Canis lupus familiaris: one gene and its partner. The protein of the gene in region 1 purifies or fractionates together with the protein of each later gene. This does not show direct contact. Links are inferred from orthologs where the notes say so. Each region holds a gene or a part of one and is shown on either strand. Other genes may lie near its edges.

The links. The genes of interacting proteins can lie anywhere in the genome.
Region 2: the proteins of PRPF19 (region 1) and U2AF2 purify together in Homo sapiens (affinity purification with western blotting; 3 studies listed by BioGRID, with this or other methods). This does not show direct contact. The link is inferred for Canis lupus familiaris from reciprocal best matches to the Homo sapiens genes PRPF19 and U2AF2.

Annotation. Positions count from the first base shown.
Region 1 is NC_049239.1:55,998,089-56,002,620, reverse strand, and holds the start of PRPF19 (pre-mRNA-processing factor 19), read right to left. Parts: upstream 2,923-4,532; 5' UTR 2,908-2,922; coding exon 2,835-2,907; intron 2,294-2,834; coding exon 2,144-2,293; intron 1,959-2,143; coding exon 1,882-1,958; intron 1,107-1,881; coding exon 965-1,106; intron 882-964; coding exon 808-881; intron 687-807; coding exon 624-686; intron 1-623. UniProt on the Homo sapiens protein: Ubiquitin-protein ligase which is a core component of several complexes mainly involved pre-mRNA splicing and DNA repair. Required for pre-mRNA splicing as component of the spliceosome.
Region 2 is NC_049222.1:102,847,224-102,850,997, reverse strand, and holds part of U2AF2 (splicing factor U2AF 65 kDa subunit), read left to right. Parts: coding exon 1-85; intron 86-223; coding exon 224-362; intron 363-3,774. UniProt on the Homo sapiens protein: Plays a role in pre-mRNA splicing and 3'-end processing. By recruiting PRPF19 and the PRP19C/Prp19 complex/NTC/Nineteen complex to the RNA polymerase II C-terminal domain (CTD), and thereby pre-mRNA, may couple transcription to splicing.

The sequences.
Region 1 (4,532 bases):
AGCACAGTGAGCACTTCAAGTAGCACTGTGGTGCTACCAGACCAAGTCTATACCACCAAGAGAGAGGAGATGCAGTCAGAGTATGGACCGGACACAAGTTCTGTGAGCACAACACAGCACTGGCCCTGATATCTGGCCTGCTCTGCCTTCTGTGACCTGTACCTTTGAATCTGTCAAAGGTGTCAGTTCTTTATCTGTAAACTAAAGATGGTAATTCACCTTCTGTCTCCATCAGAGAAAAAAAAATGTGAAAATGTAACCAGTGTTTTATGATATGCAAAGAACCCCAATACCCCGCTAACAGTAAGAGCTACAAGTTGCACTTATCGGTAATTACAATCTTTTAAATTCCCATAGATCTACAAAGCAGACACTGTTTTTCTCAATGTAAAAAAAAAAAAAGGAAAATGAGATACAGACTTGGTTAAGTCAGCCCAAGGTCATAAAGCTTCTAAGCAGTGATACAGAGGCATGAACTTGGGCAGTGTGGCCTGAGTCTGTGCGCTGCACTGGTCTGCTGGGAGTCCCACATGGGTGGGATTTCTATTCATACTGGATTCAAGGCAGATGGTGAGACATGAGGGCCCACCAGCATTCCCACCAAGTGACTTCCCACAACTTACCTTCTGGATAATCTCGGGGGTCATTCCCACCAGCTCACCCAAATCCATCGGCTCACCTGCACCCTGAAGACAAGAAGGTTAAAGGTGAGGGAGGCACAGAACACCCAGGACACTTGCAGGAGAGCCACATGAGACATTGCACACAGGGGCTGCAAGACAGGCAGGAAGGGGGAGGTGCACTCACTGCAACACTTGGCTGTGAGCTCGGCACAGCCTGGGGCACGATGAGTCCAGCCTGTGGTTTCAGGGTGGCCAGAGCTGAGAGAAAAGAATACATTAAAAATGGGGTATTACAAAGCAGGACCAGCCCAGAGTGGGGGATGTTGGGGCATAGGTGGCACCTTCTCGGGCGGCTGTAACTTCCTTAGTGAGCCGGGCAATAACACGGCAGGCAGCATCATGCTGGTACAGAGCGTGGGACAGCTCTTGACGGGTTGTCTGCAGCTGCTGGCGCAGAGTGAAGCTGTGCAGCATGACTGCATCCTGAAGAAGGGAAACGCCACTGTGAGGGGGTGAGGAGGAGCAGGGAACACCCAGCAGAAGAGTCAGCCCTTGATCAAGAGATGAAGAGGACACTGCCCTGTATTCCCACAGCCTAGACCAGTACTGGTAACCCAAACAACACGTGAGGGACCATGAATGTGCTGGTGGCCACTCTGGAGCTGCTACCTCATACCAAATACTGGGCACAGACAGGAGTGGGAGCCAGCTCTTTCCCACCCTCATCGCCTCTGATTTATAGGCAAATCTCGACGTCATTCCGTCACCTCCCCACAAGGGAATCATAACACTAAGGCTGCCATTAATCAACTGCCCTCACTGTGCCGGGTACTGTGCGAGACGACCACTCAAGATGTAGTCACTCATTCGTCTTCCAGAGCACCACTACATACCAGGTGCTACCCTTGGTGCTGGGGATATACCAATTAATAAATCAAATCCCTGATGTCGCAAGGTTTATACTCTACCTTTATTCTAATTCTGTCCACACCCTGAGAGACTGGCACAAATCCTTGTCGTAGAGTCAGGAAAACCAGGACTCACATATGAGCAATATGCCCAAGGGTATGTGGCAAGGGAGCAAGGGAGCTAACTGTGGAACCCAGATCCGTGGGACTTCAACAACCAGGCTCCTCCTCCACTATCATCCTGCCCCTCAAAAAAGAAAATAATACTCCGTCTTTCCCCACCCCAAGTCCTAGTGCAGTGATCCCTTCTCTTCAAGCAGACAAACATCAGTTCTGTTCCAGGGACTCACCCACTCATCCTGCAAAGCTTTCAGAATGGCTGGGATGCTGGTTGCAGAGGGAGGCTTGGGCCGGATTGGGTGAGCAACTGCCAAGAGAGGGAGAGCGGGTATGAAGAACTCTAACCCGGGGACTCCTCATGTCCCCCATCTCTTTCCCCTTTAGCCTACATTAACAGAACACCGTCTCCTCCTCCAGTGCACTGGTGCCACCTCCCAGCCTCTCAAGCTCTGAGCAAAAACAGCCCTGGATGGAGGCCAGCCACCAAGGCACCTTTGATATCGATGAGCTGCTCCTCAGACAGAGGCTGGTTGTTGATGGGGTCTGTGCCATTCTCCGCAATATACTTCTCAATGAGCCGCCGCTCATACACATGATTAGAGACAGGGGACACACACGGGTGCTCTGGCACTTCATTGGAGACTGTGGAGAAAAGGCAGGCGGTGAGCGCGGGGCGGTGAAAGGGACCCTGGGGCAAGGCGATGCCTCACAGGCTACTGGCCCCAACAAAACCACACGTCCCCACTTTCAACTAACAGAAAGCAGGACACGACACTACTTTTGTAGTATCCCCAGCATCCTTTCAGCTACATAACTAGCTTCTCCATCATTCTCCTGGCAGGTAGTCAACCAACAATTAGCACACAACTGCCACATGCCACACATCTACGGAGTGGTCAATCATCAATCCCCACCCGTCTCCGTTTGGAAAAAGATGCCCAGGCACCCATCATACTGGAAGACACAGAGATACACACGGCTACTCAAATCTCAGTCTAGAGCCAAGATGGATTTTGGACCAAAAAAAAAAAAAAAAAAATCACAAAGCTCTCTGACGAGTGTTACATTAAGAAGAAACACTTATATGGTGTATCAGGTGCCGAGCATGATCGTAAACATTTTCTATAGATGGGCTCATCCTCACAGCAACCCCCGAACACACCTGCCTCAGTAGACTACACACCTCTGAGGACAGGGATTACAGCTGGTCTGACTTCCAGCGCGATGCAGATGCCCAGCAGGCACCCGGTACACATCCAACGAAACCATCAAATAAAAGGAAGAATGGTGCTGGGAATATGGGGGGGGGGGGGAGGGGGGGAGCGGGGAAAAACAAAAACAAAACAAAAACAAAACAAAAAAACTTCCTCGAGATGGAAAGCAAACAACGAACGTGAAATATCTTGCAAAAGCTGCAGTTTCTTCGCTATGAAAGATTCCTTTTTCCTGGCCCTCATTTCCCTTCCTTCCCGTCTCCCTCCGTTTGGATTCCCGGAGAGGTTCTGAGGAGAGGAGAGAGCTCAGGGCTTGCGAGTTCGGAAGCACATCCGAGAGGGATGCTCTAGCAGCCTGAGGACACGGGAAAACACCTGCGCGCCGCGTCAAAGTGCCGAAAGGGAAGACGGTACAAGGCAGGAAAAACAAAAAAAAACAAAAAAAACAAAAAAAAAACCCAAAACGCCACGGCTCCTCCGGGGCTCAAAGCGGCCCCCACCCGGCTGTGCCACACTCTCCTCCAGCCTCAGGCCCTCATCTGCACACCCCGTCCTTCATTTCTGCTCTGGAGAAGGCTTGCGAGGGATGCACCGAGGTCGGGCCCGGCGCGGCGGCCAAGGGCTCAGCGAAGGCGCCCTGTGGTGTGGTCGTGCCCCGGGCTCCAGCCCCGCCACTGCCTCTGACGCGCGGCGTGACCTTCGCAAGCTGCAGAGGCTCTGCCCGCCCGAACGGGCCCGCACACGCCCGCCGCAACGCCCCCTCTCTGCAGACGGGGAAACTGAGGCGCAGAGCCCGCGTCCGACCGCAAAGCCGGGGGGAGGGGCGGGGGGAGGGGCGGGGTCTCCCGCACCGGCTCCCCCCGTCCAGGCCCCGGCTCAAGGCGCGAGCGAGGTCCTCGGCCTCGGTGACGTCTGCGACCATAAACCTGAGGCGCCGCGTCAACCGTGAGGCGCTGCGCGAACGCATCCCACGCCGCGGAGGAGGAGGCCCCGCGCTGACAGGCCGCCGCCCTGCCCCTCAGGGGGCCCCGCGGGCGCCTCCTCCCGCTCCGACCCGCGACCCGCCGCAGCCCACACTCACTCGAGCAGATCAGGGACATGGCGCCGCCGCAGCGCTCCGAGGCGCCTCACGCCGGCCTCGGGGCCTCGCTTCCGCGCCGCCGCGGGCCGCTTCCGGTTCCCCGCTGCTTCCGGGACGCTCCGCGGCGAGCGGCGAGCGGGGGGCGGGGGGCGGGGGGCGACCCCGCAGAGCGACGCTCGCGCAGCGCTTCACGTGGGAGTGCGGTCGGCGGCGCGCCTCAGCCTCCGGCACCTATAACGGAAACTGCCCTTTCCCAGAATGCAACCGGGCAGGAAAGGGCCCGCCAGGGAGCCTTCGGCCATTTCCGGACCGACTCGGCGCCGTCCGTAAAGCGCTCCCGGGGGCGGGCGCCGAGGAGTTTCCAAACTACATTTCCCATGATGCAGCGCAATTTAAAGCCAACGTACGGAGCGACGTTTTCTTGAGACCCGTGCTGCGCTGCGCGCTGCTCGCTGCTCGTGGGACCCTCCTGCAGACCTTGCAGGGTATGAGAACCTCCTAACGAACTTGTTAAAGTGCGTCTTCCTGGGAGTCTGCGTTTCCAGCGTGGGCCCCACGGGATCCTGAGGCAGGTGCATCTCCCACT
Region 2 (3,774 bases), on another chromosome or scaffold:
GCGCCTTGGGGGTCTGACCCAGGCTCCTGGCAACCCCGTCTTGGCTGTGCAGATTAACCAGGACAAGAACTTTGCTTTCTTGGAGGTGAGCGGGTTGCATTGTGGGGTCAGAAGGTGTGTGTTCTTTCTCTGCAGCAGCCTTGATCTGCCCAGGGCCCTTCTGCAGGCTGTGGTACACCCGGCACCCTGATCCTCATCACTGTACCACCACCTTCTCTTTCAGTTCCGCTCAGTGGATGAGACCACCCAGGCCATGGCCTTTGATGGCATCATCTTCCAGGGCCAGTCGCTGAAGATCCGTAGGCCTCATGACTACCAACCCCTGCCTGGCATGTCGGAGAACCCCTCTGTCTACGTCCCTGGTGAGTGGGGGCCTTGTCCCACGCTTCCCTCTCCAGCCCCGCTGGAGCTACTTGGGAGATGGCATGAATGCTTCTCATCCATCTCCCCAAACCTTAGGAGAATGCACAGTGGCTGTGGGAGGTGTTGAGGGAGGTGAAGGGTTTGCTGCCTGGCTGTCATTCCTGCTCTGGCTCTGGGACTTTGTGAGCATAAGCGTGTGAGCTCATAGTGTGAACACAAGCAGTTTCTCAGTGTGGGGTCGGCTGCTGGACGTTCCCTTGTCTGGCCTCTGTTTCTCCTGACTTCTGTGCTTTGGGCTATTCCCCACAGCCACGTTTAGTAGTAGTCTGGGTCAGTGGAGATCATAGCAGACTGGAATCGGTGATCTTTTCCTGAAAAGGGTCAGATAGTAAATATCTTTGGTTTTGTGGGCCATACCGACTGGGTCACCTGGGTCACAATTGTTCTGTTGTGACGTGGCAACCTGTATGCCGCCTCGTGATAGCTGAATGAGTGGGTGTGGCCCTGGTATATTACCCACACGTTGTGCAATAGCTTCTAAAAAACCTTGCAGGCTATACAAAAAGACAGCCGGCTTAACTCGACTTACAGGCTGGTTGCCGTCCCCTGTGGTGAGATGGGTGAAAGTGAGGATTTGTGCCTCTGGGAGGCCCTGTTGGAGTGCAGGGAGCAAAGTGGGCTTGGAGAAGCCAGTGCTGTGGTGGAACTGGGGGGCCTGGATCTTAGGTCCCTGGTGTTCTCCCAGTAAAGGTGGTAGGCATGGATGGTCTGGGCCAGGGGGTGGGGGGGAGGAGCAGAAGGTGGGTTTCTGCTGGCTGAGGCTTCGCCCTGAAGGACACCTTTTAGAAATCGAGTCCACTGCTGACAAAGCGGGGGACATGGAGTCCCAGAGAGGGTGACACCTCAGGACTGGGTGCTGGTTCCCTGCCTTGTTTCCAGTGTTTTCCACCGTAATAAATTTGGTAAGTTTGGTGGATCTAATGTTTCCGGTAACTGAGGCGTATTTTTCGATGTTGACATGTACTAAGTGTTTGATCAGATGATTTCTGTGTGGGTGCACGTCTGTGAGAGCATTTCTAGATGAAGTTATAGGCCGTTGCTTTGTATTAAAGTGAATCTCTTTTTAAGAGTTTACTTTAGAGAAAGCGTGCACATGTGCGCAGGTGGGGTTGGATGTGGGGCGAAATCTGGAGCAGACTCCACACTGAGGGCAGAGCCTGACTGTGGGCTCGGTCCCACAACTGCAAGATCATGACACCTGAGCCAGAATCAAGAGTTGGTACCTAACTGATGGGAGTCAGCCAGGCGCCCCTGTGCAAAATAAATTTAGTGTTTTAAGGTTTATTTTTTTAAGGGTTTTATTCATTTATTCATGAGAGAGGGAGAGTGGTAGAGACAGGCAGAGGGAGAAGCAACCTCCCTGAGACTCACTCCCAGGACCCTGGGATCACGACTTGAGCTGAAGGTGGATGCTCAATCACTGAGCCACCCAGGTGTTCTTTTTTTTTTTTTCTTTTTATAAAGATTTTATTTATTTATTCATAGAGACACAGTGAGAGGGGCAGAGGCACAGGGAGAGGGAGAAGCAGGCTCCATGCAGGGAGCCTGATGTGGGACTCGATCCAGGGTCCCCAGGATCACACCCCAGGCTGCAGGCAGCGCTAAACCTCTGCGCCACCAAGGGCTGCCCCCACCCAGGTGTTAAGATTTTTTTTTTTTTTTTTTAAAGATTTATTTATTTATTTTTATTTGTGATAGAGAAAGAGGCAGAGACACAGGAGGAGGGAAAAGCAGGCTCCATGCCGGGAGCCTGACATGGGACTCGATCCCGGGACTCCAGGATTGTGCCCTGGGCCAAAGGCAGGCGCCAAACTGCTGAGCCACCCAGGGATCCCTTCTTAAGATGTTTTTAATTATATAAGGAGCCTGCTTACTTGTCGAAGCTTACTATGTCAGGCACTTTGCCGAGTGGGGTCCATGGATCAGGTTAGTTTTTGTGACAGCTGTGTAGTACAAAGTCTGCAACTGACAGCTAGGGGTCAAATGTAGCTTACCAGTAAGCCTGTTTTCCTAAAGTGGGCTCTGCGTCCGGTGTGTACTCATGTACTCACTGTACTCCATGTACTTCAGCAAAAGGCATGTGCTCCACCTTCTGAGCCAGCCAGGTGCCCCTTGCCCATTTTTTTAAATAAAGATTAACTGGCACAGAGCCGAGTCCACTCGTTGTCTAGCGTCTGTATGACTTTTCTGCAGCAGCGGTCAGTTTGGATGAGAGACCCCGTGGCCCACAAACTGAAAATGTTTGCCACCCAGCTCTTTGGTGAGAGGCTTGCCAGCCACTGTTGTGTGTACCGCGATCCTGTTTCAGACCGGAGGAGAGCAAGGCAAGGCATGATAATGGTCTCTAGAGTTGGTGCTGTGCGGTCTTCCATAGCACCTTCTGACACAGGCCCTTTACCGTGTGGGAACAGAGACCTCGCGGGTCAGGGATAGCTTGTATTGGATCGTCTTCCCAGATTCATGGGCCCCTTTCTAGACGTAACTATTGGCGTGACTAAGCAGCTGAAGCGTGGGTCATCATCCATCTCTGTTCTTTGGGATTTGCTCACCCAGAGGGACCTGAGGGTCTGCAGTACTAGTGCCTGGGCAGGTGGCAGGAAGTGTGATTGTGCTTGTAGATTGAGCATCTTCTAGTTACCTTTTCATAGCGAAGTTCATATTTCAGTCTTCATTTTTTGGTTTAAAAAAAAAAACAATTTTATTATACAAGGAGGCTAAAGAGGAAAGCATGTGTGATAAAATTTAGCAGATGTTCTTGGCTGGAAGAGAAACAGTTCAGGAACCTGGAAGGCAACTTTCTGACCTTGATGGAAATGTGTTGATTAAACATGCATCACTTGGGGTTGTGAAATCTTGAGTTCATCTGCCCCTGAAGTCAGGCCTTGCTGTTGAGTGCTGGTGACAGGATCCTGGTGGTTCTTTGAAGACAAGAGGGAGACTGAGGTGGGGGGTGGGCCAGAGCTGTCTTTGGAAGCAGGGGAGCCCAGTAGTTATTCAGTGTGAGTTCAGCTCAGCTGTGAGCACCCGCCCACTGCCATGCCAGGCTCCCTTCCCCGTGCAGGGCCGAGTCCTAATCCCCCCCCCCCCCCCGCCCCCTCATCAGGCTCCTGCCACTGGGGCCTCACCCCCATGTACCCACTCCCTTATACCCACTCCCTTGGCAGAGTCCTATTCTGCCTGGTCTGGTGGTGAGTGCATGGTAGGAGAAAGTGGTATTCTAGGCACAGGGAAAGATTGCTCAGCCTTTGGGGGTCTAGTGTGGCCTTCAGAGAGGAGGTGTGTGCCAGGTGGACCCTCTGAAGGAGTGGATGTGTGGTCAGGGAGGAGGAGCCTGTCCATCCTTTTTTTTTT